Linked DNA regions of Drosophila melanogaster. The protein of the gene in region 2 interacts with the protein of the main gene of each other region in a pairwise test. Each region holds a gene or a part of one and is shown on either strand. Other genes may lie near its edges. The genes, in order: CG14818, fws, CG5466 and gukh.

Region 1 (6,168 bases), on a different chromosome or scaffold from region 2:
CTAAAGCGAATGATTAGTCCGTGGGATGAGAATGACTGTATCGAGCTCTTCGATCCGGACTACTCCGGGGGACGCAAGACACCGGAGCTGGACTACACCCAAAGTCATCCGGGTACGGATGAGGAGATAATACTCAAACTTATAGCGTCCATGAGTTCGGGAAAGAACGAGGACGACGAAGGAATTGAGGCGGAAACCAAAGCTACAGATGTCGAGGATTCCGAGGTCGAAGAAGAAGAACCTGAATCCGAGCCAATGGAAACCGCCTCCAAGGAAGCTGAGTCCGAAAAATCGTATGCAGAATATCAGCCAGACTCAGCACAGACAAGCGACGAAAGAGTGCAAGAGCTGCAGGCCGAGAATGCGCGCCTCAAAGCGCAGTCAATGCGCTTGTTCCAGATAGCTTTCAAGTATATTACTAGCGATACCAATGGCCAGGCTGAAATCACAGAGAAGACAAAGCGCAAGAAAGCGCGGAAGACATAGTGAACCTTAAGCTTGCTTTCAATTACGTTTACTTAGGACTTAGGACAAAAATACATGATAATAGAAAAAAAACAGCACTGATTGTGCCTAAAAACGATTTGGATGAACAAAACAATAACTTCTCGTAGAGGGATCTACTTGGGTGCCGCTTCGCTGCCCGCCTGCCCGTCCATGTTGTCATCTCCCGATTCGGGAGCGTTGTCATTTTCCTCGGCAATCAGGCGACGGATCTCTCGGTTGGAGTTCAGCAGCTCCCGTAGTTGGGACATAATGTCGTCTGTGCGCTGCTCCACGGCGTCCAGGGCACAGCTGAGAGCGTCCAGACTGTTGTTCACGTCCTCCATCTCTGTAGGGGTCATTCCATTAGAGCCAATCCCGAGCAGAAACGGGGCGCTGTCAAAACTCACCTTGGAGGTCCGCCTCCTGGACATTGGTGTTGCCAGAGTCGCCGGACGACGAGGGATCATGATTGTTTTTGGGTGACATTTTCCCTGGAATTTTCCCCGGAGTTTTTCCGTTTGTTTTTTCCAGTTGGATTTATTGTCACGGGATAGCTATAAACGATAGAGGTGGTTAGAAGAGAACGATAGGTCTCAGTTCAAATACGATATAAAAAAAAAAACTTAATAGGGGAATTCAGTACATACGTACGTTTTTGTAATTACGAAAACACTTTTTAGCTCAAAACACTAGGCGAACATAATCCACTGCAAAAGTCCAAAGCTAAGTTTCCACTTAGTTTTTAGGGATGTGCCCGTGCCTCGTTTTATTTTTACGTACCAATGGAATAGCATGGGAAATTTTGGCTTATTCGCATATGTCGTGCCTAATTCGTGACACGAACAATGAAACAAATGGTTTACGTATCTCTAGGCGTTGACTGGACTTAATCGAACGGTTCTTTCCCATAGTGCTTAATGTTGATTGGCCAGAGTTGACCCCTTCTGACAATGAACGGCTGTTTAATTTCTCAGAGCGATCAGCGGTCGTACTCCAACGTTTTCTGTTCGCCTGGTGTCTACAGTCGATAATCTTGCCCATTTTGACCGAAATAATTTTGAAGCATCGAATTGCGACAGTAGATTTCTTGTTGCAATCATGAGGCGAGCATAATAAACAGAAAGTGTACTAGCCTCTGTTTCTACGTTGTTTTTAGAGATGTGCATGTATATCGTTTTATTTTCACAACGCAAGCAAATTACTAGGGATTTTGGTATTTGCTCGAGCATGACGTGCCGATTGCGTGTCACGAACAGGGAAACAAGAGGGGTTCACATCTCTTCTGATACTCTTGCTTAAGCTTTGGTCTAACTGTTCACAAGGCTGCATTCCTATTGGTTCAATTGCGACTGGAAACATGCAATATGCGACCATTTTGGAAAAAGAAACTGTTTCTTGATTTTGTCGACATGTATCAGCTGGCTGGCTACTGGCTACTGGTTTCTGAACTCCAGATATTCAGTCGAGAATCGCATGCGAATGCCCGTAATATTTGCTGGCATCAATATTTAATCTGTTGCCTAGCGTGACAGTCGGCCACACTGCACCTCACATAACATAACCGAAAAATGAACAAATGTTTTAGGTGCCAGCCCCGGATATCGCTTTTCCAGTTCAGCGTGAGTCCATGAGTGTGTTGCCTTATAGGATTCGGATTTTCAATTTCTTGTTTACACAGCTACCGCGGTGCTATGCCGCAGTGCAGCCGGGATGTCCACCGCCACAAGAAAAACCCGTCGTCGGTTTGCCACACAAGCCCGATCCCAAGACGGTGAAGTGCGACTATATAGGACCGCCAGACGCGCAATCAAACCTACGTCCGTACGTACGGCACTACGGCGATGAGGAGACGCGGCTGGCAAGAAGCCTGCGTCTTAAGCGGATCGAGGTGGAGGCATGGAACACGGACTTCTGGACAAAACACAATAAGCGCTTCTACGAGGTACAACCACGACCACTGTGCCATCTCTTTCTAGTCCGCTAATGTCGTCTCTTTCGAATTGGTTCGTTTACAGGAAAAGGAAGACTTCATCCGCCTGCACAAGGAAAGCGGAACCAGCGAAGTGTCCGCGGACCAGATGAGCCACTTCTACAAAGCGTTCCTCGACAAGAACTGGCGCATCCACATCATGTACAACATCTCCTGGTACCTGAAGAACTTCGACATACTCACCCTGGCTGCCGCAGTCCAGCTCCAGAGGCTTCTGGCGCTGGCCAAGCGAAGATCTTAGGTGCAATATCTGTCGTCCCCATTTCGTAATTTCCAGTTTGCCGTTTGCAATAAGTTGGAATAAAAGATCACGTGCGTAAAATGGTGGCATAAAATTTACTTAGCTACTATTTAAGGGGATGAAAAATACACGTTGTTCGGAGTTAGTTAATGTACTTAAAAGTAATCGCAAACTATTTAAATAAAATAAAATAGAAGTAGGTGTTCATATCCTTATCAGTGTATATATTCAAAGAAGGTTGCGCACGATACACGCAGCGAAAGAAGGATCGCTCCCCATGTAAAGTGGCCGAATATTGAAAGATAACCGCTACAATTATGATAATAATAATAATGGTAAACAGAGGGGAAGGCACACACGCATAAAGTCAAGTTTTGGGTTGGCCATCGGGGCGGTCAGTTTCCTCGCGATAATTGCAATGGTGGTAGTGATGAATGTGGAGATGGTGCTAAAACAAATAAAATTAGGTGCTCCAGCGACTGTGTGAGGAGAGGGGGTCCGAAATACATTACAGGGGTGGTCGTGTCCTAGCAGTAACATTTATATTCTTTCTATGTAGAAACGATAGCAATTATTCAATTTAAACTATGAAGACACTCTCCACTTTTGCACTTAAGAGCGATATAAAGGATACGAATTGGCTACAGTGGGCACATATACAAAACTTACAAGGTCATATGCTCTCCACGAGCATATCTGCATATAGCATATAAACTATATATATATAAATATATATATATATATATATATATATATATAAATGTACACGAACTATAATGCTTAGCGAATCTAGCTACTTGATCAGATACAAGTCCTGTTCCTGTTCCTGTCTCTACTCCTGTTCCTGTTCACTGGGAGCGACGTGCTCGCCGCCGCTTCTTGCGCTTCCTTTGGTCCTCCGCTAGAGGCTCCTCCCGACTCTAGTTCATCCACTTGCGACAGTTGGGCGCTCCACAGGCGCACGGTATCTTGTGCGACTCGTCCTCAATGTCGAACTTGTAGTCGTACGAGAGCTAAAGCACAGAATTTAAGAGATATTGTGAGTTAAGGTACAGGCGAAACACTTCTATTTGCGGGACCCACCTCCTCGCCGCGATAGATCTTCCGCTTGGCGAATATTATGATCCGCACGTCGCGATCGACCTCCACTATCTCGGTAACACAGTTGGGATTGCACGAATGGTTGATGTAGCGCGCCAACCCGCCGCTTAGAGTGGCGTCCACCACGCGGTCTTCATCCAGCCGGAACATGTAGATGCCACGGTTCTGGGGAATCAGAGATTAGTCAAAGTTACAAGAAAACATGGTCGCGAAACCCACCTTGGACTCGTACTGCTTCTCGCGTATCTCGGAGACCTCGGTGCGGATAACCTCGCCAATGTACTCGATTATCATGGTGTGCTTTTCAATGTCCCGAGCTGCATACAAGCCAAGACCCTGGATCTTAGATCTAGAAAATGAGAGCTTAAGTAATCAGTGGTTATTGACTAGGACCTAATGTCTCACCTCGCCAAGTAGACGTTGTTGCGCCACTCCTGCTTCATCTTTTTGTACTGGGAGCTCTTCGAATGCACGAACTGCTTGCTGTACGGGCAGGCCACTTCTCCGGCAATCGCAGCCGAGTTGGCCATCCGCTGCGTGCTGCAGCTGCCGGCCGTGCGTTGCGTATGCGGCTTCCTCCAGACGAGCAGCTGTCGTTGCTTGGGTTCCGTACGCGCCGCTCCAGACGGATTGATGGCTAGCGGGAACTCAAGAAGCGGGTTGCGACCGTACTTGAAGCGGTAGTCAGTGAGCGTCTCAATGCCCGGGAGGCTTTCCAGGATTCGCACAATGGCCGGTTCCGTTAGGCCAAATAGGTCCTCACCACTGATGTGCTGGGGAAAGAGCTGCAACCACTTGTGCACCTTACGCAGTCGCGTGATTGGCTGCAGAATCTGCTGCCAGACCGCCGAGGGCGAACTGCCCCGAAACTCGCGCTCCGGCTCCTTGTCGCCGGCGTCCTGCACCTGGATGCGAAACTCGGGCTTGCATCCGGCCTCTGCGATACTGCAAATGTATCGACACCTACGATTGGGTCGTCGCACGCACCAGTAGTAGCGACTCTATGGGGGAGGAAGAGGAACGGGATTTAAGATTGCTGTTCATAAACATGGCGGCCGACCGGCTGGTACTTGTACTTACCACCTTGTAGCCAATGGGGTAGATGTAGTGGGGTGTGTGGAAGGCCTCCAGCTGATGCGGCAGTAACTGACCCACGTTCAGGAACGTCATGTTGCCCACACGGAGCAGGTTGCTTAGCTCTGAATAGTGCATGACGGTGGCCACCTGACGGTTTTCATCCCGATCGACAAAAACTCTCCGGTGGACAACCAGGGAGCTCAGTTCATTATCTGCCACAGAGCCTCCTAATCCGGCGCCAGTCGTGGCGCCTGCTCCTGCACCCATCGTGATGCCGGCATGAGCATGACCATGAACGCTGCAGTGCACGGACTTGTTCTTGTAAAAGACGCACTCCTCGCGAATGGCGCATGGCAGGTGGTACAGGCTGTTGCAGCGCGACTTGAAACACTTGATGGTGGCGCCTGGTTGGTGACAAGCGCTACACGCCTGGCTCAGTCCCGCTTGCAGAGCTGTCTGGAAGTTCATCAGCGCCCCAGACACCGTCTCGTACACGCCGTTGGACCACAGGGCGCAGTTAAGGTGAACCTGTATGTGAAAGTGTACATTAAGCTGTGATGCAATCAATCATTAGGGTTACACTTTCTACTTACCCATTTATCCACATCGAAGTTAAGCAGTCGCGAGGGTCCATCTGCCTGGCCGTCACCACGCTGATTGCAGAAGACACACTGCCGCGTGTCCTCCAACTGCAGCCCACTGGTCTCTGTTTCCCACACAGTATTATTGACCGGTCCAGCCCCAGTTCCGGCACCAGCAGTTCCGTCGAGCTCCAGTCCGGATGGCGCCGAGTCCGTGGTGAAGCAATCAGCACTAAAACACTTCACAATGCATTTGCGCTGTGCGGGGATATTTGTGGGGTTGCCCGGTACGCTCGGCGTTTTCTCATCCTCGTCCTCCGGTTCTTGTTTGACCACCATTTCCGCTGGGGCAGTTGAGCTGGCGCAGAAGCTGCCAGGCGAGTCTCCGTTGGATGATTTTACAGCAGAACCGCCGGCTGGCTGAAGCAGCAGACTAGCCGCCTCCGCCTGGCCATCCTTTCCATTCCACTTGAATCTCGCAAAGCAGGCGCGATCGCAGAAGTACACAAAAGGAGGGGGAACCGATTTTCTTGGCAGCATGTCCATCAGTTGAGCCAACCGGGGGAGTTGCTCTTCTAGGGCAGGAACACTGTGCCGAGGAACTCGCAGCCCAGTGGCGTGAACCACATTTCCGCAGCTGCGGCAGAGCTTACGACGCCCGTTGAGGATCTTCCTCAGATGACCGTGACTCA
Region 2 (7,900 bases):
AGCGGTGGGCCTGAAACCACGCTGGGTCGCTGGGACAAATGGAGTGGAGAGCCAAAGCAATATTCCCAACAAAAGTACACCAATGGTGCTGCCTGCTGGAATGGTCCAAACCGTTCGGCCATCATCAACATTAGTTGTGCCCTGGAACCCAAAATCACTGCCGTCAGCGAGCCCAATCGCTGTGAATACTACTTTGAATTCGAAACTCCCGCCGCCTGCGACAGCGAAGCTTTCCAGTCCGAATCGGAGAATCTGCACGACGAACTCTGAAATGTTCAACAATCGACGATGAGGATGAGCCGCAGAGAAATGTGAATGCTTGGCATGCGTAGACCAGAGATTTGGGGATTGTATTTTAGTTTTAAAGGAGAATATCAATTTTGTCGAGATCATTCCCAAACTGCAGCAGGAAAACCATCAAGAATTGTAGCTAATTAACTCAGTATATGCATTTAAGCAAAAAGTACATCAAGTTTCATTCTGAATAAAGTGTAAACACCTAGTATTTTTAAAACAGATAACATCACTGAATGAAAATGTTGATTTAAAGTCGGTTTCCTTGAGCTCAAACATACAAATATTTTACTTTCGTGATACTTGAGCACAGACGATTTCAAGGTATAGGGAAAAGTATATTATAATTGAGAAACTATATGAAGAAATTTAATTGAATGTACACATTTTAGGCAGCAAGAATTTTTCATTTTAAATAAAGTGTCAATAGTTTGCATATTTGATATTGTTGCCAAAACGGAGGACTCGGAACTTTGTTCATCTTTGAGATCACCCTTCGCAGGATATGAAATAAATTCCCGGAATAGTACAATGGTGAGTTGAGATTTTTAAAAACTCATTCTGTTCTCAATAAAGTATGTATGTATAAACATTTAGTAAATATTAAAAATATGCATATTACAAGGTAGACTAACTTTAGGCCTCGGTGACAGCCTGTTTAATGTCCTCCAAATAGCCATCGACCTGGTGCTCCAGTGCGAGAATGTGTCCCGTGTTACAGTTCTCCGCGCCCACAAAGGTCAGGATGAGCGGCAGCTTGTTCATCTGGACCACCTGGTAATTGGAGTACATGGAGATGATGGTCTTGTTTCTGCCCAATCCCAGTTTGCTGGCCTGATCGCAGGCGGTGGTGAATGTGGGTATGAACGAGGGCATCAGGGCGAAGTCCACGTTCTTCTCCTGGCTAACCCGCAGGAGGGGCACTCCGTCGCGATCCGTAATCTGAATAACGTACAGCCCGCTGACCCTTTTGTGTAAATCGGGGAATGGGGGAAAAATTATAAGTTAATCATATTGGGAACAGCCTTTCCTGTGGAATATTTACTTTTGCAGCAGGCCGTCTAAATACTTCTTGATGTCGTCCGACATGGAAAATTTGTTAAAGCGAAAGACTAGAGAAGGTATGGCAATAATAATACGTTTTTCTCCGCATCCAATTATTTACACAAAACAAAGTGAGCAACAGCTGCCTCAAGTTATCGATAAGTTCATGTGGCAGGGGCGTAGTCGGCGGTCGAAGTAAAATATTTTCAGCAAGCGGAAAAAGGATGCGGCTAGTTTTTAACATTATTATTTAAATATTATATTATTAAGCTATCACGCAATACTTTATATAGTTTTTTAGAAACCCCTTCAAAAAATTCAATCCCCGCTCAACTGGAAATTTATCGATTACAGCCTGTTTTTGGTTGCGTGGAAAAACAGTTTGTTTGCAATACGTAAAATTGCTGCAAGTAATGGAAATAAAAGTGTAATACCAGCTTATAATTCGTATTACCATAGATTAAAACCTTCTGCATCATGGTGACTGGAGACCCGGTAGCGACAAAGACCCCAAACGCAGCGGATTCGGATGATAATGACTTTACCGCATCCATGTCGCACCTGACCATTGGCCAGCAAATCCAGGAGCTGTCCAAGCAACTGCAGAACACGAAGGAGGAGCTGCACCAGCAGGTGCGCGACAAGCACGGAGCTCTACTGCAGCAGGCCACCCACGCTGGGCGCTTCGATGCGGCTTTAAACGCGCTCGCCGAGGATGTGCAGCGGGTCAGGGAAACTGGGCACCGGCTGAAGAACCAGGTGGACACGCAGTACCAGCAGGTGGAGAACCAAACGCAAGTGCTAGGGCGTCTGCACGATGTCAGTCACCTACTCCGCTCGGCTGGAACATTGCTGAGCCTCACGGCCAAACTAAAAGCGACCAAGGATGTCCTACGCCTGGCCGAAATCCACTTTGAGTTGGGCCAACTCATCGAAGATAAGGAGCTAAAGGACATTGATTTTATCCAGCAGGAGCGAGCTTATGTGATCAGCTCTGCTCAGAAGATAAGGAACCTCACGCAGATGCAGTTGGTCACTGGGCTCCAGGAGCGCAATGAAAACCAAGTGGTTAATGCCTTGAAGGTGGATATAACAAACATTTTTCTAGCATATACCTAAGAGTTCTTATTCCTTAGATCTTTATGAATTTCAATACGCTGGAAAAATCGCTGGATAACCTATTGGCCACCTTTATTGCCGACATGGAGCAATCTCTGAAAGAGTGCTTTGCTGGCAACGATATATCTGTGCTGAACAAGTCCCCGACGCACAATGTGAGCAAACCTGCTCCCTCGAGGGGACCAGGAAAAACTCCCCAGTTGACAACCACTCAAAACTTCCGTGCCAAGTTCTGGAAGTCTCTTCATTGGCTGCTCTATGATGAACTTTTTGAGACTTGCACGCAAATCAAGCTGCTGAAAACGGCTCTCGAGCAGATCAACCAGTTTGGCTATACATCAGAATCATCGGATCAGTGCATTCCGCAGCGTTTTTGGCAGCAGGTGCAGCAGCTCCTGCGAAAATCCTTTGACGAATGCCCCCAGCATGTTACGCAGACCCTTCAGGAGGGGCTCTCAAAGCTCCTGACCTCCGCTCGTGGCTTGGAGCAGCGTCTGCATGGCGAGTTTCAGTTTGACAACGAACTATTTGCTCCCCTGGAAGTGGGTTACGTTAGCAAGTGTGCTGCCAACTTTAAGGCATGTCTGGCGGGAGTCGATTTGCCCGGCAACGAAACGGTGGACAACTTTATTCGTGTGGCATCAACGGAGCTCAGTGCTGCTTTGATCGATTCCCGTCTCACGAATGCCATAGCAAATGTATTTGCGGCCTGTGGAAAAGAGTTGTGCACAAAACTAGAGGCTCAAATCAAGCTGGGAGCTGATTCCAAGCAGGTCGTGGATCTGCCCAATCTGCAGCAGCAGCAAAACACCCAGCTGGCGAATGTTCTGTTCTACTATAAGGATTCAGTGCGTCGCATGCTCAGTGATCTTCATGTGCACTTTGAAAAGACACCGGGAACAGCTAGGGAGATTATATCCCGATCCTTGGAACAGGCTGATTTACTGATCGGCACCATTCTACAGCAGATAATGGAGTCGATTATCACGACCATTAGCATCATTGTATTGAGTATGCACAGGGAGCCGGGATTGAATTCGGAGAGGATGTCTACCACAGGTCCGTCGATGTACATGAAGGAACTGCAGGTGGGTGGGAATTTGAATGTAATACTTGGCTAGTCATATGTCTCAATCAAACTATTAGGAGTTCGTCAACCGATCCTGGTCGCATCACATCGCCCTGTTCGATGACAAGCAGATGACGAAAAAGTGCGGACACGAGTTGGCCAAACGTTGCATTGAGCTCTTCCTGCACAATGTGTGCATTCTGCGACCTTTAAGCTCCTGCGGAAGGCAGCGTTTGAAGCAAGACTGTCAACACATGGAACAGGCGTTGAAACCTCTTTGCCCAAATCTCGCCGAGCTGGGAAAGCCGTCGCGTCTGCTAAGAGCCATGTCCTTGCTGATCGTCCAAACGGCCGAGGAGCTGGTCAAGCAGACAATCGGCGAGGACTCTCTAGTGCCCAGTTACATAGTGCTGTTGCTGCTCTTCGGACACGCTGGAGCAGATCTGCAGTCGCCACACACGACGGCCAACTGGTCCAATGAGCGGCTGATCGAATGGCTGGATGGGCACACGGCTGAACGGGAGAAACTAGAGCTGATCTCGGGGGCACTGCAACGGTATCGGGACAATGCCAGGCGAAAGAACATTCAGCAGTACGACGAAGTTTACCCCATGATGGTAGATTATTTTGAACAGGCCTTAAAGGCACTTCCATAAATGTCTAATGTATTATGTATCTAGAACTATGTATGTATGTATGTAAGAGCACGAATATGTTTGGAATAAACATATGCATGGCATCCTTCTATTAAATCATTGTACTCAGTTCCTTCCGCTAAATGAAGCTAATGAGTTTCTTAGAATAACTTATTGAGTGGAATAATGATAGCAGTGAGAACTTGAGGCTAGAGGCTTAAAATTGAAATTATGCGAGGTTGTGTCATATTGTCATTTGATTAAATTAATTTTGGTAGGCAGTTTTGGCTGGCGCTATATGAATAAATGGAATTCCATGGTTAATATAAATGATACTGGTACTTACTCAAAAGACACATTTTGGAAGATGTTTCGTATTAAAAGAATAATTCTTACTTATTCGTCATTAACATTAAGAGGATTTCAAATAAAAATATATCACTACATCGTTTGGAAATAGTTCCTCCGGAATATCGGTATTTATATATTTTTCACATTTATATCGATTTGAAATAGGCATTCAAAACAACGGTAGTAATAACTTTTTTAAACTATCGATGCGTATTCAGAATAACGGTACTAATAACTTGTTCTAACTATCGATGTGTATTCTGAATAACGGTAGTACAAATTTTTCCCAACGGTATATCGATATCCATCTGGGTTTTTACTGTCTCGAGATCTGGTCACTCCCCCGTGCTCACCATTTTGTTTGCAACGTGAAAAACTCTCATTTGAGAAACGCTGTCATCCAATTTAACTGCAACGAAAACTGTGTAAAGTAAACTATAGACGCTTGAAACCTCTGCAAATATAGTGCGTACCACTGGCCAAGAAGATGGACAACATAGAGCGACTGTACAAATGCTACGAGATTCTGTCCGAGGCGGGCGATAAAATATCCGAAGTATGCCGCCATTGCAAAACGTGCCGAAAAAAAAACGGTATATGATACATGGTCTAATATATATATGCATGTTTTTTTCGAATTGCAGCATGTGGATGAATATAAAGAGATACTCAAGGCCGTGAAGGGCACGTCGAAGGAGAAGCGCCTGGCATCGCAGTTCATTGGTAACTTCTTCAAACACTTTCCGGATTTGGCCGACACAGCCATAGACGCGCAGTTTGATTTGTGCGAGGATGACGACACACAGGTGAGTGGGTGCCATAAAGTTACCCAGCTGATACAATAGGCTCGGAATTTTTGGCCTGTATGCAGCTGATGTGTGTAAATAAATCGAAATCCCCTGTAATCCTGCTCCGTATCTTGACAGCTTAAGATATCCCACATATTCCACAAACTAAATATCTTTATCATCCTTGTAGATCCGCCGCCAGGCCATCAAAGATCTGCCGAAACTGTGCCAGGGAAACGCAGATGCTACCATCCGAGTGGGTGATACTCTGGCCCAGCTGTTAATCCTGGACGATCCCACAGAACTCCAGCAGGTCAACAACTCACTGCTGGCCATCATAAAATTGGACACCAAGAGCTCCATCGCCGGATTGTTTCAGCAAATCTCCACTGGGGATGAAACGACAAGGGAGCGCTGCCTCAAGTTCATTGCCACCAAGCTGCTGACCATGGGTCCCACAGTTATTACCAAGGAAATCGAGGACTATATCGTGGAGGAGATCAAAAAGGCTTTGCAGGATGTCACTGCCGATGAGTTTCATCTGTGCATGACAATTCTGGGAGCCACCAAACTGGGAAGCACCATCACGGGACACGCCGAGCTCGTCAAGCTGGCCACGGAGCAGGCGGAGCTAAATAACACAGACGCGGACATCATAGCCGTCGACGACGAGGTGGTGGAGCGATTCATTCAGTGCGCCTCTGCTGCGGCTCCTTACTTTTCGGTAAGTTTCCAATAGCTGCACATGAAATCGAACCCCTGGCGAGCATTTAAATCGAATCTCTTGCCATTCCTATAGAAAACCATCAAATCCACGGCCTTCGTGGCTCACGTTTGCGATAAACTGTTGCCCATCAAGACCTGGAACATGATCGCCACTGCAGTTTCGCAAGATCAAATCCAACTTAGATTACTAAAGGTATTCGCCGAGATGATAACCAACACAGACAAGCTGGACAATGCCAGCGAACGGATTAATGCAGTCTACAATGTATTGCTGGTAAGTGTACTTGGTACATTCGAAATTGAGCGAATAACATGTAAACAATTTCCAGGAATACATGCCTTTGCCAAAGCTGAGTGACGAGGATCTGGGAGATACACCGCCCTCGTTTCAGTTTTCGCACGCCGAGTGCTTACTGTACGCATTGCACACTCTTGGAAAAAATCATCCAAATAGTTTAAGTTTCGTCGAGGATGCAGAGAAACTAAAAGACTTTCGAGCTAGATTGCAATATCTTGCAAGGGGAACACAGGGGTAGGTTCTTGCAAAAATTTTATTCTGTTTACATAATTTATTTTATAATACTTGCCTTGTAGTTATATTAAGAAACTGGAGGAGTCGCTCAAAGGCAAGACGGGAGAGGAGCTCAAAACGGAGGAGAACCAACTGAAGCAGACGGCACTGAAGACGACATCAAACATCAACATTCTGATCCGGGATCTATTTCATTCACCGCCCATATTCAAACATGACATTGTGCTCTCCTGGATTGTGCCAAAAAATGTAAGCACACAAGTTATCTCTTACAGCTGATATATTTATAAACAATGCAATATTCTTGTGCGTTCAGAACAAGCTGGGCAAGCGTCATGCACCCATCACTTTTGGGGAGAAAGCCGCTGCTAACGGCAAGGATAAGGATCAGGAGCCAGAGAAGAAATCGCGGCCATCCAACGATCAGAAGTTTTACTCGCCGCCATCTGGAAAATACTCCAACAAGGTCAACCAGAGCTACGGAAACAACAATCGCACGAGACAACGTGGCGGCGGCGGCGGTGGCGGCAGCGGTGGAGGCTACAGAAACAGGCGATTCAACAAGTACTAAGTAAAGAATCAATCGTGAGGCAGAAGAGCAGCAAAGAACACTTCACTTGAATGGTTTGTCCCTAGTCCGTAGACATACAAAAAAAAAAAAAACAAAAACAAGATATTGGATGCGAGCAGAATAAACACAACTGTTGCGATGCTGCAGCCAAGCAATTTTAAAGGAAACAAAACGAAAGTGGTGAGTATTCCGTGCAATTTTCATTTAACTTTCTCCCCTTTGTCTCCTTTCAGCGCAACATATTTTCATGGAAATTAAATGCAACATTTTTACATCCATTTTACTCATACACTCACGCATTGCTTTTATTATTTTCGTTATAACATTTGTTTTCGCTAAAGTACTTGTGCAATTTTCCAAAACACGCCACGCCTTCTTTTCATACATTTCCCAAAAGAAAGGCGCTGGCATTGTTTGAAATTTATATCACTCCTGTTTTTACCTTCAATTCTGTCAAACGCATAAATATAAGATTATACCAATAACCAAGTGAACGAATATCAATATAAAACCTACTTTCAAGTTGACCGCTTTGAAGATAATGATTTTCAAGCGACAAACTGTTTGCGACAGATCGGCATTTGTTTTAAACCCATTAGTTTTTATTTGACATGTAATATCAAATTAACAATTGTACCATTTAGAGATGCAAATCAGCAAAAAAAAAACCCCTAGCATACATTTCTTGAATTCAATAAAAGCAACATTAAATTACATGCACTGTGTGATATACTTGTTTAATTTTGTTAACGACGGGCAACTAGAAAAATA
Region 3 (8,523 bases), on a different chromosome or scaffold from region 2:
CGGCTTGATCGACTAGGCCATATTAACTGGTTACATACTTCAATGGATCAATTAAGGTAGACTTTAAGCTTACATGGTCGATAAAGGCGCAGAAGAAGCGATTGACGCTGGCGTACGCAATGGAGGTACGTTCCATCTGTCCATCGATGCTCGGAACGATGTCCTTTTGGTAGAGCATGGTCTGCGAAAGGGTGCCGGTCAGACTGCGCTGAAAGGGAAGCAGGAGTCGCTCCAGGTAGATGCTATAGTAAAAACACTATGATAATCAATATCCTCATTGGAGTAAAGTCAAAATCTTACTGAAGGTTTCTGGGAGGCAGGATGACGTACGCCTGCTTGTCCGAGTCCATTAGCAATCCTCGTCGCCCACACATGGTCTGGGTTCTCTGCAGCTGCAAAATCATCGAGGACATATCCGTATCGGCAAAGCCGTGCGGAGATCGTCCGTGGATGTAGTAACCAAATCCTGGCTCCGTCAGTGAGAACAGAGAGATGTTGGCCAGACTGCACAGGTCGATGAACTTCTGGAGGGGATTGGCTATAAACAGTTGGTGGCCTATTATCTGAAGTAGATATGTGAGCAGATAAGCTGCCGCTATAAGGCAGCAACGTAGAAAAATGTCACCCTTGGTAAACCTCTCCAGAAACTGATAGCCAGCGATGACCACAAATACCTGACCCAAGGTGGAGTACTTCTGGGTGACACTTAGGCGAATCCAGGCATTGGCCGTGAAGAGAACTCGCCAGGCGGAGACGCTGCTCTCGGCCACAAAGGTGCGCACGCTAGAGCAGAGAGATGAGCTGTCCAGATTCAGGCGTTGTCCTTCGCAGCTGCTCCGCGGTCTTTCCCAGTCGATGAGAAACAGTTCCAGCTGGCTGGAGCGCCACAGGTGGATGCCCAGAAAGAGGAACTGCAGCACAAAGGCGGTATTGAGTAGGATTTTCAGTAGGCGAGAATTGGAGGCTTGCAGCAGTAGGAGCAGCAGAGTAGTCGCCAGCAGAGCATATGCCACATTTCCGGCCAGCTGCAGGAGAAATTCCATAAGACTGCTCATCTGACAGAGGTCCGCCTTCCGCCTTCTTCTCAAATTCTGGAGACGGAAGACAGCAGCTGCAAAGGCCAGCAAAAGGAGCAGCGGCAGCGCCACCTCCAAGATCAACCAATCCCAACCACGTTTTACTTGGTCGTAGCTAATCCTCAGGGTGAATGGGTACAGTTGGGAGAGCGATATATTTCCCGATCCCATCTCTATGTGTCGGTATCGCAGGCGAATGAGCGGCAGACCCACTCTATCCGGCTGATCCTTGTCCAGCGTATAACGAATTTCGATGTCCTCCACATATCGTAAGGAGTAATATTGCTGCAGCTTGTGGGCATCCTCGTAGCGCGGCATGGTCTGGTGAAGATGACTATCCCGCGGCGAGGCGGAGATCAGCTGGAAACGTTTCACCAACTGCCACTCCTCCTGCTGGGGTCGCTGGACAGATGAAGAAATTACGGAACTGAGATTAAGTTCTATCTAATTGAGTACATCACACTCCTCACCTGGTTTTCCGGCGTCAGGGTCTCGATGAGTACAGGTAACTGGTGAAGCAAATACTGCCAGTTACTACTGAAGTTTAGAAACACGGTGAGAAACTCGGCGTTGTGCCGTTGGTTGGCCAGGTCAATGAGACGCTCTAGGGTCAGCTGACAAGATACCTCCGACTCCCTCTTGGGTAGAGCCACTCGGAGGCTAGGCGCCTTCTGTTGGCACATGTTCAGCATCTCCGGATGAAAGGCACCCCACCGTTTGAGTCCGCCATCTAGACCAAATGTGGTGCTAAAAAGGCGCAGCTCCTTGCGATCCGGCAGCTGAAGCGTCTTCGAAAGCAGCTCCTTGGTAGCCCGACCCTTCTTGTAGAACAGGAACGGCTGCAGGGATCGCACCTGTTCGCCGGAGTGGGCATACTTCATGACCACATCAGAGACCTGGGTAAGCAGGAAGGCGCTGCAGGGCGAGTGCTTTTCCAGGGAGAAATGGGAAAGCACGCACAGATTGGCCAGTTGCTGGCAGGCGGTATCGTTGCGCAGTGTCAGGCAAAAGAAGGCCACAAACTTGAGCTCACCAAAGCGGCTGGGTGCACTTGAATCCGGCGTGGTTGTCGCCTGCCAGAAGGCGTTGTAGTGCACATACGGTCGGAGCAGGGTGCTAGCCAAGCAGAAGTCCTGATACCGGAAATTGTGCGTCATATCGCAGGAATGGCAATCTCCCGCTCTGCTCATCGGATTTGTATGGGTCAGTATGATGCCGGAAATGAGTGGATGCACTGGCAACTGACTGGCGAAGGCTGCCGTGGAGTTCAGATACCGATAGCTGCACTGATTGGTAGGTCGAGGCTGGGGTAGCCACACCGAAGTGCAATTGTCGCTCCTGTCCGGAGTGCAAATCTCATCGCAGGTGGGCCACGTCTTGCCGCGCTCATAGATGGACAGATGACCAGCCGGGCACTTGCAGGTGAATTCTGGGTGGGCAATAAACAAGAAGCAGGTGAATTCTGGGTGGGCAATAAACAAGAAGCTTTTATTTCAGTAACATAGTAAAACTTTCTTCTAACCATACGAATGCATATCCTATATTCATAGATCTATCATATGATCAAGGATTGAAAATGTATATAAACTAATCTATTCATTTTGTCACAATTATCAATCATTTTAAGATATTATATATATAAAAACAGTATACAACTTTCAATTCAATTCAAAGCGAAACTAAAAAGTTTATCTTGTTTTTTTTTTGTATAAATACCCCTAAAACGAGTTTTAGTTTTCTTACACAACAATGTCCTTATTATCTGCACTATTTATACATATTTTAAATAACTGATTACAAATACTTTACTTATTAAATCAAACAACAGGAAATCGTTGAGGAAATCTATTAAGAATACCAATAGTTTAATTTATATTAGTTCGAAATATTAAAAATATATTAATATATTAATATTAAAAATTGTTTGATTATAGTATTTCCTCTTCGAGATCGTCAAAATAAAATTTGTGTGAAGTTTGCAAATTGTGCTAAGTGACAAATACTGATGTGAATAAATCTTAAGTATTCGAGGTCTGTGACCTATAAAAAATATATTAATCGCAAAAAGCCTTGTCGCTTTCAATGACAAAACCTTAAACCAATAAAATGTTTAAATAACCGAATATTAAATTTGGTATATACAATATTACAGCTCTTTTGCAGCTGAAAATGAATACTTTCTCTTGAGTAGCATGCAGGTCCTTGCCCCTTCACATGGCACCCCTTTTGGTTCTGTTTGATCAATACTACCACTCACTGTCGGGTTGCAGTTTTCCTTGAACCCCATCTCCGCCGGCGACCTCATTGCAGGGCACACAGTCGAATAGGTTGAGGTTGTAGAACTCGTTCTTGAGGCACTGCGTCGGATTCTGGAAGCGAAAAGTGTGCGGCGTTGGCAGCTGCGAGGGATTTGTGGCCGCGGTGGTCAGCGAGCAGATGGGCACTGGAATTTGTAAGGCGATCCAGAAAAGAGCACAACACCAGTTGATAGCCCGGGAGAAGCACCTCATCCTCATCCTCATCCTGTTCTGATTTTAGGAGTCGCTGCTCGCTCTTCAATATTCGAAAGGGTACTGAATTCCCTGGAGCGATTGCAGCTGCAATTTGGAAGTCGCCCAGGAAGGCAAGTAAACAAGTGGACTCGTGGAGGGAGTGGTGTTGCTATAGCTACCCAACCCCCCGATTTTCGCCGGGCACGCATGCAAAATGGCCATTATCCGGAGGGTTGGCTCAGGTGCTTACTCCCTCTCGGCCGAATGTCCTTTGACCAGGAGGCCACCTTAAGTGTAATGAGTCCTCGAGACTTTTTACCTGCTGGGTTTCCTTTCATATTCCAGCACTTGCGTGCTCAAAATTGTGATTGCCATCATTATTAGTTACTTTCTTAGGATTTTGCATACAATTTGTAGGTATGTAAATTAGCAAGGACTATTTTAGAAATTAAATCCTACGTAAAGGAATTATTTGTTGGGTTACTTAATTAATTATTCTCTCTAAAGAGACCATTTGTATAGTCAATTCTTTTGCACTTCTACGTTTTTAAATGGGTTTGAATGGTTTTTGCAAAAATTAAATTAGTAAGATAATAATAAATAAAAAATAAAAATAAATAATTCAGATTGTATAATAAGCTAAATCGCTTTTACAATTATTTTCCTATATTATTTATTTTTTCAATTCACTTCTAAAATATAACTTTTTTAATGTGGTAGCTATAGGATATAATATAATATAAGCTCATACTAATCATTATATTTGTATTTAAAAAACAAATAGATTTCAAGCACACTTTTTTATTAGCTTAAAAAAGAATATTTGGCAGTTAGATGCATTAGAATTTGAGCTCTGCGAAAGCTAAGACTATTGGCTGTACTAATCAAATCTTAAACAGTTGCAAAAAAATATCTATATGCCTTAAGTAAATTTTTAAGCGCATTAACAATGTTTATGTTTATGTTTATACGCCAACAAATGTTAAATTATTTGCTTATGTATATGAAAGTCGGGCATAAAGCTGTCTGTCGTTTTTAGAGCTTTTGGCCGCGACGTGCGACGGTCACACTGATGGCCTCCCCCACTTCTTCCTTGCAAGGACAACACAATTAGGCGGCGGACACATACAGTTTTTTTCCCCCGATCCGTGGCCGCCAGTTAGCCCAGTCTCGTCCCCCGACCGACGAGTGATTCCCGACAGCAACCGTTGGTCATTCGAATCCAGGATGCTGCACTGGCGCCGCACAGATTAGATATTCGCAGTCCCAGACGAAAATGAACAATTTGGTAAGTGGGCGGTGACGGCGGTGGCAGTGGAGGTAGCAGGGCTCGATTTCAAGCTCAGATCTTGGGTGTCTCTGTTTCCGATTGTGTGAACTAATCACTGCGATCCTTGCAGGAGCACTCCAAGCATTTCTATCCTGATAACTACAAATTGGATCTGTCTGAGACCATGAAGGCGGCTCTGTCCAAAGGACCCGGTGGTGGTGCCGGTGGCGGGGGCGTGGCAGGCGGAGATATGCTGCCGCAGCCAAATGCTGGAATGCCAGGAGTGGGCTATGTTACGGAAAAGCTGTACATGCTGCTGCAGCTGTATCTGCAGAACAAAGGCTGGAATCCCAGTGCTGAGCTGCTGCAGTGCTTCAGCGATCTCAAGGACAATGCCATGCTGCCCAGCGCCGCCTATCTGCAGTAAGTAGGGGTTGTGGGTTTTTTCAGATCCGTTCTCATAACTTCCTCGTTTGCAGAGTCCTGGCCAACCGCTTAACCCTGGACTCCCAGGGACGGCTAATACTGCGCGACAATGGAAAGATTGTCTTGCCCTTTGAGCATTTTGCCAATGCGGTCATGCTAAAGCACATGTCAGGTCCGCACGGCCTGCACCTTAGTGTCGATGCCACGGTGAGGGCAGTCATTGAGTCGTACACCATCGGTCGGGATCAGTTCGGCATGGAGAAAGAGTTCATCATCGAGGTGGTGCAGTCCTGCCCAAGTCCCGCATGTCGCTACTATAAAAACCACATGGGAATTTCGCCCATGCCGTTCATGGAGCAGCAGTATCCGGGCGTAAACACTCCCGAGTTCCTGCAGCGCTTGGCGCATCTGCCGCCTGGGGGAGCAGCCGGATCTGGGCCAGGAGGCTCCGCAGCCGGATCCACCTCCAGCGTGGCAAGCAGCTCGAGTTCGGCGAACGTGGAAATCGATCTGTCCAAGTCGACGGGCGCGAAGGTGCCCCAGGTGCCGGTGCCGCCGCAGTTGCAGCACCTGACCAAGCAGCAGCAGAGCACTCTCCAGACGCAGCTCTCCCAGATCAGTGCTGCCGCCGCTCATCATCAACAACAACAACAGCAGCAACAACAGCAACAGCAGCAGCAGCAGCAACAACAACAGCAAGCAGCAGCCAAGCACCAGCAGCAATTGACTGCTGCCCTCATCCAACAGCAAAACCGTGTCCTCGCCCAGCAAAATTTAGAGAAGCTTAGCAACCACCTCAGTCCGCTGGAAAAGCAGCGAGTTTTCGCCCAGCTGGATCCAAAGCACTTTGATCCCATGGCCGTTGCGGCTGCAGCCGCCAATCTTCAAATCCAAGGCCTGATGCAATCGCAGGCAGTGGCTGCCGCCGTCGCCGCCAATCAGCAGACTCCGGCGGCTACGACTACATCTGCTGCAGGAGGAGCTGCAGCCGGCCCGCAGGCCCATCACGGACACCATCCCTTGCCACCGCCATCGCAGTCGCCACACTCATCCTCTTCGTCTTCCTCTCATTCCTCGTTGGACCAGATTACCCACAAGAACGTCGCCGACTCCTTGCGGTGGGTGAGATTTATTAGATATTATTATTTTAAATTCTTTTTCTTGGCAAAACATGTGTACAAAGACTTATTTTTTTATTAAAACAAACAAAAAATATTGTATGTATTTGATAAGTAACGAATTAGGTTGTTTACAATATTATTTATTATTTGCTATATGTAAAGTAAATTGATCACTTTTAAATGTTTGCTTTAGGCCCTTAATTGAATTCATTTAACTTTTCCGATTTCAGTTCCAATCTGGACTCAATAGAATCGAATAAGGATCTGCTGGCGCTGCACAACGGAGCCTGGGCCACCGGCGATGCCAATCGAATGGATCACTTGGCCGTGGGTCAGGACAAGATAGTGCGCATCTTTGCGGAGCTGATGCGAAACATGTCGCGGATGAAAACCTACATACGTCCCTCGATGTGCAAGCCCTACGGCAAGCAGAGTGAGAGTCTGCAGAAAAGTGAGTACCTTGGCTGGGAACCGGTTTCGCTATCTGCGATGCTGACCGCCTCCTGCTTGCTCGTTCTCTTCCCCGACAGCCCTCATGGACACCATTCAGATCGTGCAGACGCTGCGCAACTGCCTCCCAGCTCCTCACATACCCGTGTCGTCCTGGAAAAGTGAGAGCGAGGGCAACGTGGGATCAGGAGTGAGCGCGGGAGTAGGAGTGGGTGTCCCTGCAGGACTTAACCTGGGCGCCGCCTTGGGTCTGCCATCGGGCAACATGCACTAGATGCGGGCTGGAGCTCATCGGGTAGCATGCAATAGCTCCGGATTTATCCACTCACATTCTTCCAGCAGTTAGAGAACACTTAGTACTTACACGCAGAGAAAAGCATAGATGATAGGCATAGCAATTTACCCTCGTAGGCGTGGCTCCAGTTTTCCTTTTAGCAATTACGTGCCATGTTCAACACAAGACTTGATTTCACATTTTCCACATTTGACTGACCTTTAGGCATACATATGTATCGAATCCCGCGGCTTGAATTTGATTCCCATCACTCTTTGTTTTCCAGTTTGGCATGCAAAATTATGAAGCAAATCGGCAAATTAGTTAAACAATTGGCAAAACGTCTGTGATATTTGAATTATGTTGGCAAACGGAAGACAAAACTAAATTTAATTTATTACGTTGTGTGCCCTCTGTTGTAATGTCTTACTTTTTACTTTGTGCAATATCTACTAAGCATATATTCTTAGCCGTTCTCGTGCAATCGACGACTTTTCGCCCATATCAAAAGCAACTCGAATGTAGCCTATACTTAAACTAACCTACTGATAATCGGACATGATAGACGCGTAAGACTTACATTATATTTTGCATTAGGACTTCAGAGTATCTGAATAACAATTGGCGGATGGCCGCGGTGGCGAAAGCGACATTACGAGTTGTGTTTAAATTTAAGAAGCTGAAGAAGGGTTGTACTCCGCATGCAAGGGCTATTTAAATATATATTTTAACCCGCCCGAGCTCACCATTACCAGAAATTCGATAAACGAGCAAACAGTATTATACGCAATAAAAAGACACCTGCAACCATAAGTATTTACCTAGCTGATGTGTGGGAATTTATCGTAACATACCATATTATCGCTTAATGTTTAACTTCTGGACTTAATAATAAATAAATATTTTATTCTACGACAAAGAAGAACTTTTCAATGTAACATTATTAACTGCTTTAAGTCATATCCTTAAACTTTCGCCTTGAAAATCTTTAAAACCCTACAGGTATTCCAAATTAATAATCTCAGGTGCTAGAAATTTAATTAATATATTTTGGAAACAGCATAAATTAGTGAAAATACAACATTGTTTTAATCAAACATTTTTAAAAGCATGTTTTCGGTTGCAAAGTTTTCCAATTTCAATCCTGAAATTAAAGTTGAGTTGAACAATTGCTATAAAAAGCGACCATTTATTACGTTTTATAAACTGTCCCGATTGTGATTTTAGTTGTTTATTTTATTTCATATTTAAAACCGTTACTATTTTAAAAATCGTTCGCTAAAGATTGTGCTTTTAAGCATTGATAACTATCGCTAATTGCCAGAATTCGTAATCTTATTTGACTTGAATTGTAAAAATATAGGATTTAGGATTTTTACCAAATAGATGTAGTTCAAAGAACACAATTCTTTTT
Region 4 (7,704 bases), on a different chromosome or scaffold from region 2:
CTCCTTCAGATACTGCTGGATGAGCCGAATCACACTTTGTTTGGGGGGGAAATCACGGATCTAGTAAAAACTGAGTGGTGTTGGTCGATTTACAGTACTTACTCCGCTGATTCGATTTCTATGGACATCGTAAACTAATTTCCCGGTTTAAGATTCCTTTTAAAAATAAGTTTTAATACAGGTTTATAAAAATGTACAATAATATTGATAAAAAATGCGTCGTCGTAGGGATGGCGAAAAACAGATACTATGCACAGAACAGCTGACCGTTATCGTTATCGCCGACAGCTGATTCTCAGTATAGGCAAAAAGAAAATTCATTTCACAACGTTAAATAAAATAAATAAGAGGCCATAAAAGTTGTGAGCAATAAATGTTTAATTTTATTGCTATCAGTGGTATTTGTATTTAATAAATTTGTAAAAACAGCAATGTCCAGCAAGCACATGTGGCAGAAAAACATTATATCATTAATAGGTAATTCAACCAGCATTGGCTTAAACTTTAAGTTTTTGTAAAGATGTATGTAAAAACATTACCGGCAATAGAATAGACACACACACACACACACACACAGTTACCGATCAGCCGGTTGACAAAAACAAGCATAACGATAGGTAACACCGATTAAAAAAAAAAGAAACAAATGGCGATGTTCCCGCTCTTTTTGTTTTTCGGCGGTAAACGATCTGACCAGGCGGGTTGAATCAGTCACCATATTCCCGCCGCCGTGTACAGTACTCCATCGAATCCGGAACAATCAACTTCAACCGCGATCCGTTGCTGCTGTGCTGTACCTAAAACAGTTAGTAAAACTCCCAATCTCACGTGCAGATCGCCGATTATCCGGACTGATGGCGGAGGCAGCATCCTGTGCCCGAAAGGGGACCAAGTACGCCGAGGGCACCCAGCCCTTCACCGTCCTCATCGAGGGCAACATCGGCAGCGGGAAGACCACGTATTTGAACCACTTCGAGAAGTACAAGAACGACATTTGCCTGCTGACCGAGCCCGTCGAGAAGTGGCGCAACGTCAACGGGGTAAATCTGCTGGAGCTGATGTACAAAGATCCCAAGAAGTGGGCCATGCCCTTTCAGAGTTATGTCACGCTGACCATGCTGCAGTCGCACACCGCCCCAACCAACAAGAAGCTAAAAATAATGGAGCGCTCCATTTTTAGCGCTCGGTGAGTGCATTATTCCCGTCGTCCGGTTTGACCAGAAACGCTAAACGAAACTTATCCATTACCCATCGCGCCGCAGCTATTGCTTCGTGGAGAACATGCGACGAAACGGCTCGCTGGAGCAGGGCATGTACAATACGCTGGAGGAGTGGTACAAGTTCATCGAAGAGTCCATTCACGTGCAGGCGGACCTCATCATATATCTGCGCACCTCGCCGGAGGTGGCGTACGAACGCATCCGGCAGCGGGCTCGTTCTGAGGAGAGCTGCGTGCCGCTTAAGTACCTTCAGGAGCTGCATGAGTTGCACGAGGACTGGTTGATACACCAGAGACGACCGCAGTCGTGCAAGGTAGTTTCTACACAAGCTCACATCTACCGAAGCCGCTAAATATGCATTTTTCCTCAGGTCCTAGTCCTCGATGCCGATCTGAACCTGGAAAACATTGGCACCGAGTACCAGCGCTCGGAGAGCAGCATATTCGACGCCATCTCAAGTAACCAACAGCCCTCGCCGGTTCTGGTGTCGCCCAGCAAGCGCCAGAGGGTCGCCAGATAACCATTATCCCATTAGTACCTAATTGTGTGTAGTACAGACGTTTAAAATAATATTATAAGAGGCCTAGACGAGCCGATTCGCGGGACAAAGGCAGAAACTTACACTTCGAGCCAATGATTAACACATTCGTATATTAACAATTATAATCCACATTATATTCTCTTCACAGCAACTAGTATGTAAGCTCAAAATATTGTAATAAAAACTGTGAATGTTTATGTTAAAGGCAAGGCACCTACTATTTTTGTGTTAGCATTTCAGTTCACTTGCATTTTAACTATATTGTGTTGGACAATGAAATCATTAAATGCCTTCTCTAGCATTGATTTTTGTTATCTTTTTCTGAAGCGGGGTTTTTTAAAGTCATAATAATGTGTGCACCGTAAAAGCGGCGTGATCTTATGCCTGCTGAACTCTAATGTGACTGCATGCGCTTCTCATTACTGACCTAAATATATATACTTTATTTCTCTATTGACTTCCACCCACAAAGACAACCATTTGTTGAGTCAACTTGCTTTATATAAATGTATATAATTAATTGTTTTCGCTATCGGGCTTACTTAAATGCTACAGCTTAATTAGGACATCGCAAGGAGAGCACTCCATCTGTGCTGTGAACGTTGATGCCGTTCCTGAGGGCGTTCACTTGGGTCCGTTCATGATTCCTGGACGGACGCCGGGTATAGTGCCCAGTGGAGGCGGTGGTCCCATCATGGCCATGGGATTCATAATCGGTGGCGGACGCATGCCCATCATGGGGTTCATCAGTGGAGGCATATAGGGCATTCCAGGCATTCCCGGACGCGGAGGAGCCCCCATGTTGGGCGGCGGAATGGACACGCCCGCCGGCTTGGGAGGCGCTCCTCCTGGCCCGCCGGCAAACGGATTGTTCGTGATCTTGCCCGCTTTGAAGGCGGCGGTAGTGGCGTCAATCAAATGCTGCGCCTGTTCCTCCATCCACTTTTGGTAGTAGAACTTTACATTGTCGCGATGCTTGCGGCCGGTGCAGTGGGTTTTCCGCACCGAGGGCGAGTCGTGGGTCAAGTAGGTGTCGCAGTAGTCGCAATAGTACTTTGGCATTGCACTAATTTATTTATCTTAGCTAAGGAAATTCGGTTCACTGTAGTTTTATTTATTATTTTTCGCAGTCGTATGACCGTATTTCGACAAGGGTGATAAGCTACTGAGACATGCTGCTGTCTGGCAACTCTGCCGCTGTGTATATCGATATGTTTAACAGCAACATTCAGCTTGAAACTCATGGAGATATTTGATTTGGGTTTGTCAGCTTGCATTTTATATTTATTTATATATTCAAACAGATACAACATAAAAATAAATATAAATCATGCATTATATATTAATGTTTTGTGTTGAATGCCCACTGTGCACTGTTAAGTGTTACAGCAGGTAACACACTGTTAGTGTGTGCAGTGTGTCCTGACTAAGCTAAGCAGAGTTTTGAACCCTAGTCGGTGACATACTCAAGCAGCTTGGACGAACGGTCACACGGGCAGATGATTTATCTGCGACTTCACTGCCCTTGCCATGTATTGGGCACACTGGCAGTTATTTTGAAACCGGCGAAATACGAAGACGTCAGCGCGGACGGTCGGTTTTTGTAATTTTGCCGGCTAACACACCTTTCGAACGACGCGTAACGGTGGCCGGGCCATTAAAATCGCCACAACCACGGGCAATTCGAGTGCGGCGCGCTAATTATGCAAGGCTGAGAACTAGCCACAAAAATTTGGGGGGCAGCAATAAACCAGTTGATTTAAACTAGTTTGTGAGTGCGTGTGAAAAGGCCAAGGAATTTGGCCGAAAGTAGTAGACAATAGCTAGGAGGCTGCGACTGCGGAGGATTCAAGTCCAGAAGTTGTCCGACCAGTTTTCGGTGCCCGTGTGCTCGTGTGTGTGTGTGTGTGTCGGGATTACTTGGATTACCTTTTATTTTATGTTGGCCGGTGCCTTCGAAGCGGAGCGAATGAGTTGGAGCAGCTAGTGGCCGCCAGAGAGATCAAGAGTGCGAGAGCCAGCGAGAGATGCCCTTCGTCCAGCGCGTGGTGCAGCCCGTCAATGTGGCCCAGGCCACGGCGGCCAGTTTGGGCCACGCATCCGGACGATTCCACTGCACGCCGGGCAAGTGCCGGAACAACAACTGCATTAACAAGCAGTCGCCGGATGTAGAGGTCCCCAATGGCCACGGATCACCCACATCCCTTACCAGGGTTCTGGTTCACCAGGCGCCGGAGGATCAACCCGTACCGCCCGCTCCGGCGCCCATGAAGAAGCTAAAGCACCACGTCGAGTTCCTGTCCACCTCGCCCACTCGCCATCAGTCGCAATCCCTGCCCAATTCGCGGCATCCCAGCCAGCAGAGGCCGGCGCTTGGAAGGATCGCCAGTGCACCGCAGTCGCCCACTGCCGGCTCCTCCAAGGTGGTCTCCGGCCACGAGTTCGACTCGATCAGCAACATAACGCTGAGCAACGCCCTGCGGCAGCTGGCCAGCTTGGTCCTCATAGCCAGCGATATCTTCGACGACCTGCAGCGGGATCTGCAGGCGGTGGGCGAGCGGGCGGGTCGTGTGCAGCGGAAGATTGCCGCCGTGGAGCGACGCGTCTGTGCCTACGATCCGAAAACGGTCACAGTTCGTAAGTAGACCCATTCATCTTATGCCCTATTCAATTCTAGCTAGGATCTACATAAGTGGGAGCTCCCCCAATGTGTGTGTGTGTATTCCTCACACGATTCGCGCTCAAAGTCAAGTGCGTTATCACGGACAGCTTATCGCCCGTCATCTGCCGCTTTGTATGCGTGGAGTAGCTTCTGTGTGGGTGGCTGTGTTTGGCGGAGAACGTGCTCCAATCTTATCTGCTTTCGCAACACGCGGGGAATTCAATTTGCAAAGGCGCAAAAGGGAGGAGAAGCAAAAATAAGTCAGTGGGGGAATTGGGGAGCAGGTCTCGCTATACCCTATAGCAAAGTTTTTTCACTGGGGCTAATTAGAAACAGACGCATATTAACATATTAGATTAATATTTTAATATTTTCTAAAACAATTGATTTTATTGTTTCCTTTTCTGTTTTTGAAAAAGTTAAAATTAATAAACATATTTATTGTGTTCTAAGAATTTAAATGATATTTACTAGCGCTGGACTTACTATTTAATTTGATTGCAAGCAATACTAAAATATAATCATAATATATACACATGTATATTAAACTCCTCCTGAAATCGCCATACCCTGGGAATACCCTTTTTCTGAGCATCTCGGTGAAAAGAAACCGAGGGAATACCGAACCAGTGGAAATTAACACCTTGTTTACTTTGTCGCCTCCGCTGTTTGGGGCTCCACTCCGATCGCCCGATTGCCCCTTTGCCCATCCTGCCATTATTCCATCATGCAGAGTGTGAGTGGGTGGGTGGGACTGGGTGGGGCTGGGTGGCCTGTGTTCATGCAATTAGCTTCTTGCCCGCGTCCAGCAGAGGCTTCTACAATTACCAACGAGCTACGAGCACTTAGATAAGCGGTCTAAAGTCGTTTGGCTCATTGTTTTCGCGACCTTGTGTTAAATACCTTCCCAACACGAATGGCCATTTATGTGGCAAGTGCTGCAGTTGTTGTTGCTGTTGTTCTAGTTGCAACAGCAACAGGTTATCCGCAGTGGCTGTCAAACTTCGTGATATGCCCAAATCCGAATATATTTTCTCGTCTATCCGCATTTTAGCACTTTGCTTCGCTCGGCACTTTATCGCCTTTACATTTTTGTTTTCTGCTTGCAATCCGAATTTTGTTTTTCGCTTGAAAAACGTTCAATAACTTTATGAAATCTCAACGGCAGACTGGCGACGACGCTGACTGCAGCTTTTTCACTCCGACTTGATATTGTTTTGTTGCCATTATTATTGTGCACTTGGCTGCAGACTTGGGCTGTGCGCGGAGCTCGACGTGGCGTACGATCCCATTGTCAGCTGTCATTTTGCAAGAGCTCACTTTGTTTACGCCAGCCCCTCTGCCGCTGGCTTTTGGCTCCTTGTCAGCTGCCCGAGGAGAGCAAAAACCCAGAAAAAATAACACGAAAACAGCAGCTGCTGCTCTTTGGGCTACTGCATGCGCAATCGAAAACGTCGCACTAATTGCTCAGGTATGAAGCCCAGGAAAAACAAGAGCACCACACTCGGTCTTCTACATATGCGCGTACAGCTGAGGGCACAAAAATAGCAATAATAATAGTTTTAGGCTCATTAAGTACTGCGAATCTCCACAAAAATTGGAAACATAATCCACAATGTATGTGGATTTTTATATGACCTTAAAAATTTTGTATTATGATAATGGCACTAATATAGTTATCAATATTCTTAAAGTATAGTTTAATAATAAATACATATGTATATATTCTGTAGTTAGGCGTCTCTTTCCCTTTGTCTATTGTTGTTAAATACAATTGCTCTTTGAGTATTTCGCAAACAACATTTTAAAAATAAATTATCAAGGATAGACACTTTTCTTCTTAGACTTGTGTTCAATTATTTTATTTTACATGTCATGGTTATCTAAAAATATGCGCCCAGGTGATAGATAGCCTTCAAAACGGGCGAGCACATAAAATTGCTTCTAATACTTAAATGGTATCATTAAATTTATCTAAAAATGTGACACAAGCAAGTAAAACTTTTCGATTGTTATAATGTTTCAAAAAACCCAACTCAACTGGCATAATAAAAACCATATGCGTAGTTATTATTGAGGTAACAAAGAAACCCTGGCACAGCTATTAATTTCACCTTAACTGTGGGTTGTTAATTTTGAAATTTGCAATTGCCTCGGAAGGAGTGGACACTCCACGCCACTCCACTTCGATTCCCCTCACCTGTTCCTTTGTCCCGCAGCCATTAATGTGCTCATATTAGAAATGCCATTACATCGCGCCATTTGCGGCGACTGCCGAGCTAACCACCACTCGGAAAAGTGCCTCTTTTTTTGGGCTAGTGCAGCCAAGCGTGCGAAGCATTTGCCGAGGGTAATTCCCATTCGTTCTCCGGCTGTTACTGCTGCGGGCCTACGGGTAGTAACCATGGCCAACTACCGCCAATGAACTACTAACTATATCTGCCAATCAATCGGCCATATTGCCGGGCCACAACATGTTGCAGGGGAAACGAAATAAAATATAGTTGGAAGTACGTGAGCGGCATGGACAACCGGCGAATTGTTCGGGCCCAGCAGGCGCTTTTCGTAAAAAGGAGGCCCTTTGAAGAGCGCAAATGCCGCTGTCCACTTACGCACTTGCCCACTTCGGACACTCCAGTCGGCTCAGTGGTCACTGGAAACTTGATCCCGGACGGAGGACACATGTGCGTGGGCATCCCGGACGAAACTGAGATACTAAGATACTACATAGATGCCCAGTCACACAGGCGCACACATGGCCAGATTGTCTTCAGCAGGAAACGAGCATTTGTAATTACAGCCACAGTGGGGCATAAATAACGCGAGGCCAAAAAGATACGGCCCGCATCCGAGAGATACACGAAAAGCCGAAACCGAAAAACCTGTTCCCACCTGCAGCATTGCGTGTGTATATGGGTGTGAGTGTGCCTCAAAAACTAAACAAACAAGCCAACGAAAAATACAGCCAGCTATGAAAATGCCTCGACTACACAGTCCGAAAAAAAAATGAAAGAATGAAAGATACAAGCTGCTGGTATCCAGAGATACAGTATCTATAGGTCTATATGTCTTTGTCTGCCCGCGAGAATGTACTTCGTTTTTGTCTTAGCCAGCCACGCATTATTTTTCAAGTGCGCTGATGAGCATTTGATTGTTGCAGTCAAACTTTGCCCGGGGCTCCCCTTTTTTTCTCCCCATTTTGGGGCCAATTCAATCCACTCAACTGCGGTTGGTTTTGCCATCGCTGCGTCTGAAATTCTGACTGGGCTCCTCTTGTTTAT

What was found.
Region 1: the proteins of fws (region 2) and CG14818 interact in a two-hybrid assay, tested with the Drosophila melanogaster proteins (one large-scale study listed by BioGRID).
Region 3: the proteins of fws (region 2) and CG5466 interact in a two-hybrid assay, tested with the Drosophila melanogaster proteins (one large-scale study listed by BioGRID).
Region 4: the proteins of fws (region 2) and gukh interact in a two-hybrid assay, tested with the Drosophila melanogaster proteins (one large-scale study listed by BioGRID).

The regions. Positions count from the first base shown.
Region 1 is NC_004354.4:1,878,519-1,884,686, forward strand, and holds CG14818 (uncharacterized protein), read right to left. Parts: upstream 1,257-6,168; 5' UTR 1,138-1,256; intron 1,063-1,137; exon of another isoform or gene 1,041-1,062; 5' UTR 973-1,040; coding exon 894-972; intron 833-893; coding exon 621-832; 3' UTR 501-620; downstream 1-500. Other genes in the region: CG14805 (uncharacterized protein), read left to right, coding at 1-486; Coa8 (cytochrome c oxidase assembly factor 8), read left to right, coding at 2,055-2,105, 2,165-2,428, 2,502-2,717; trr (trithorax-related), read right to left, coding at 3,638-3,730, 3,801-3,983, 4,038-4,167, 4,224-4,819, 4,899-5,423, 5,489-6,168.
Region 2 is NT_033779.5:17,474,817-17,482,716, reverse strand, and holds fws (four way stop), read left to right. Parts: upstream 1-1,687; 5' UTR 1,688-1,748; exon of another isoform or gene 1,749-1,797; 5' UTR 1,798-1,815; coding exon 1,816-2,421; intron 2,422-2,474; coding exon 2,475-3,545; intron 3,546-3,603; coding exon 3,604-4,182; 3' UTR 4,183-4,275; downstream 4,276-7,900. Other genes in the region: GCS2beta (glucosidase 2 beta subunit), read left to right, coding at 1-270; Lamtor3 (late endosomal/lysosomal adaptor, MAPK and MTOR activator 3), read right to left, coding at 931-1,261, 1,340-1,383; cass (cassowary), read left to right, coding at 5,000-5,068, 5,157-5,318, 5,491-6,024, 6,100-6,300, 6,356-6,558, 6,621-6,807, 6,875-7,129. UniProt on the Drosophila melanogaster protein: Required for normal Golgi function and necessary during spermatogenesis. Required for cleavage furrow ingression during cytokinesis in dividing spermatocytes and for the extensive polarized cell growth that accompanies spermatid elongation.
Region 3 is NT_033777.3:20,613,247-20,621,769, forward strand, and holds CG5466 (uncharacterized protein), read left to right. Parts: upstream 1-4,636; 5' UTR 4,637-4,844; coding exon 4,845-4,856; intron 4,857-4,968; coding exon 4,969-5,261; intron 5,262-5,317; coding exon 5,318-6,382; intron 6,383-6,615; coding exon 6,616-6,836; intron 6,837-6,915; coding exon 6,916-7,109; 3' UTR 7,110-8,023; downstream 8,024-8,523. Other genes in the region: CG15923 (uncharacterized protein), read right to left, coding at 74-242, 301-1,478, 1,547-2,505, 3,334-3,598.
Region 4 is NT_033777.3:18,980,718-18,988,421, forward strand, and holds the start of gukh (GUK-holder), read left to right. Parts: upstream 1-3,307; 5' UTR 3,308-3,788; coding exon 3,789-4,398; intron 4,399-7,704. Other genes in the region: Smu1 spliceosomal factor, read right to left, coding at 1-34, 103-128; dnk (deoxyribonucleoside kinase), read left to right, coding at 855-1,186, 1,263-1,533, 1,591-1,740; snRNP-U1-C (small ribonucleoprotein particle U1 subunit C), read right to left, coding at 2,386-2,823.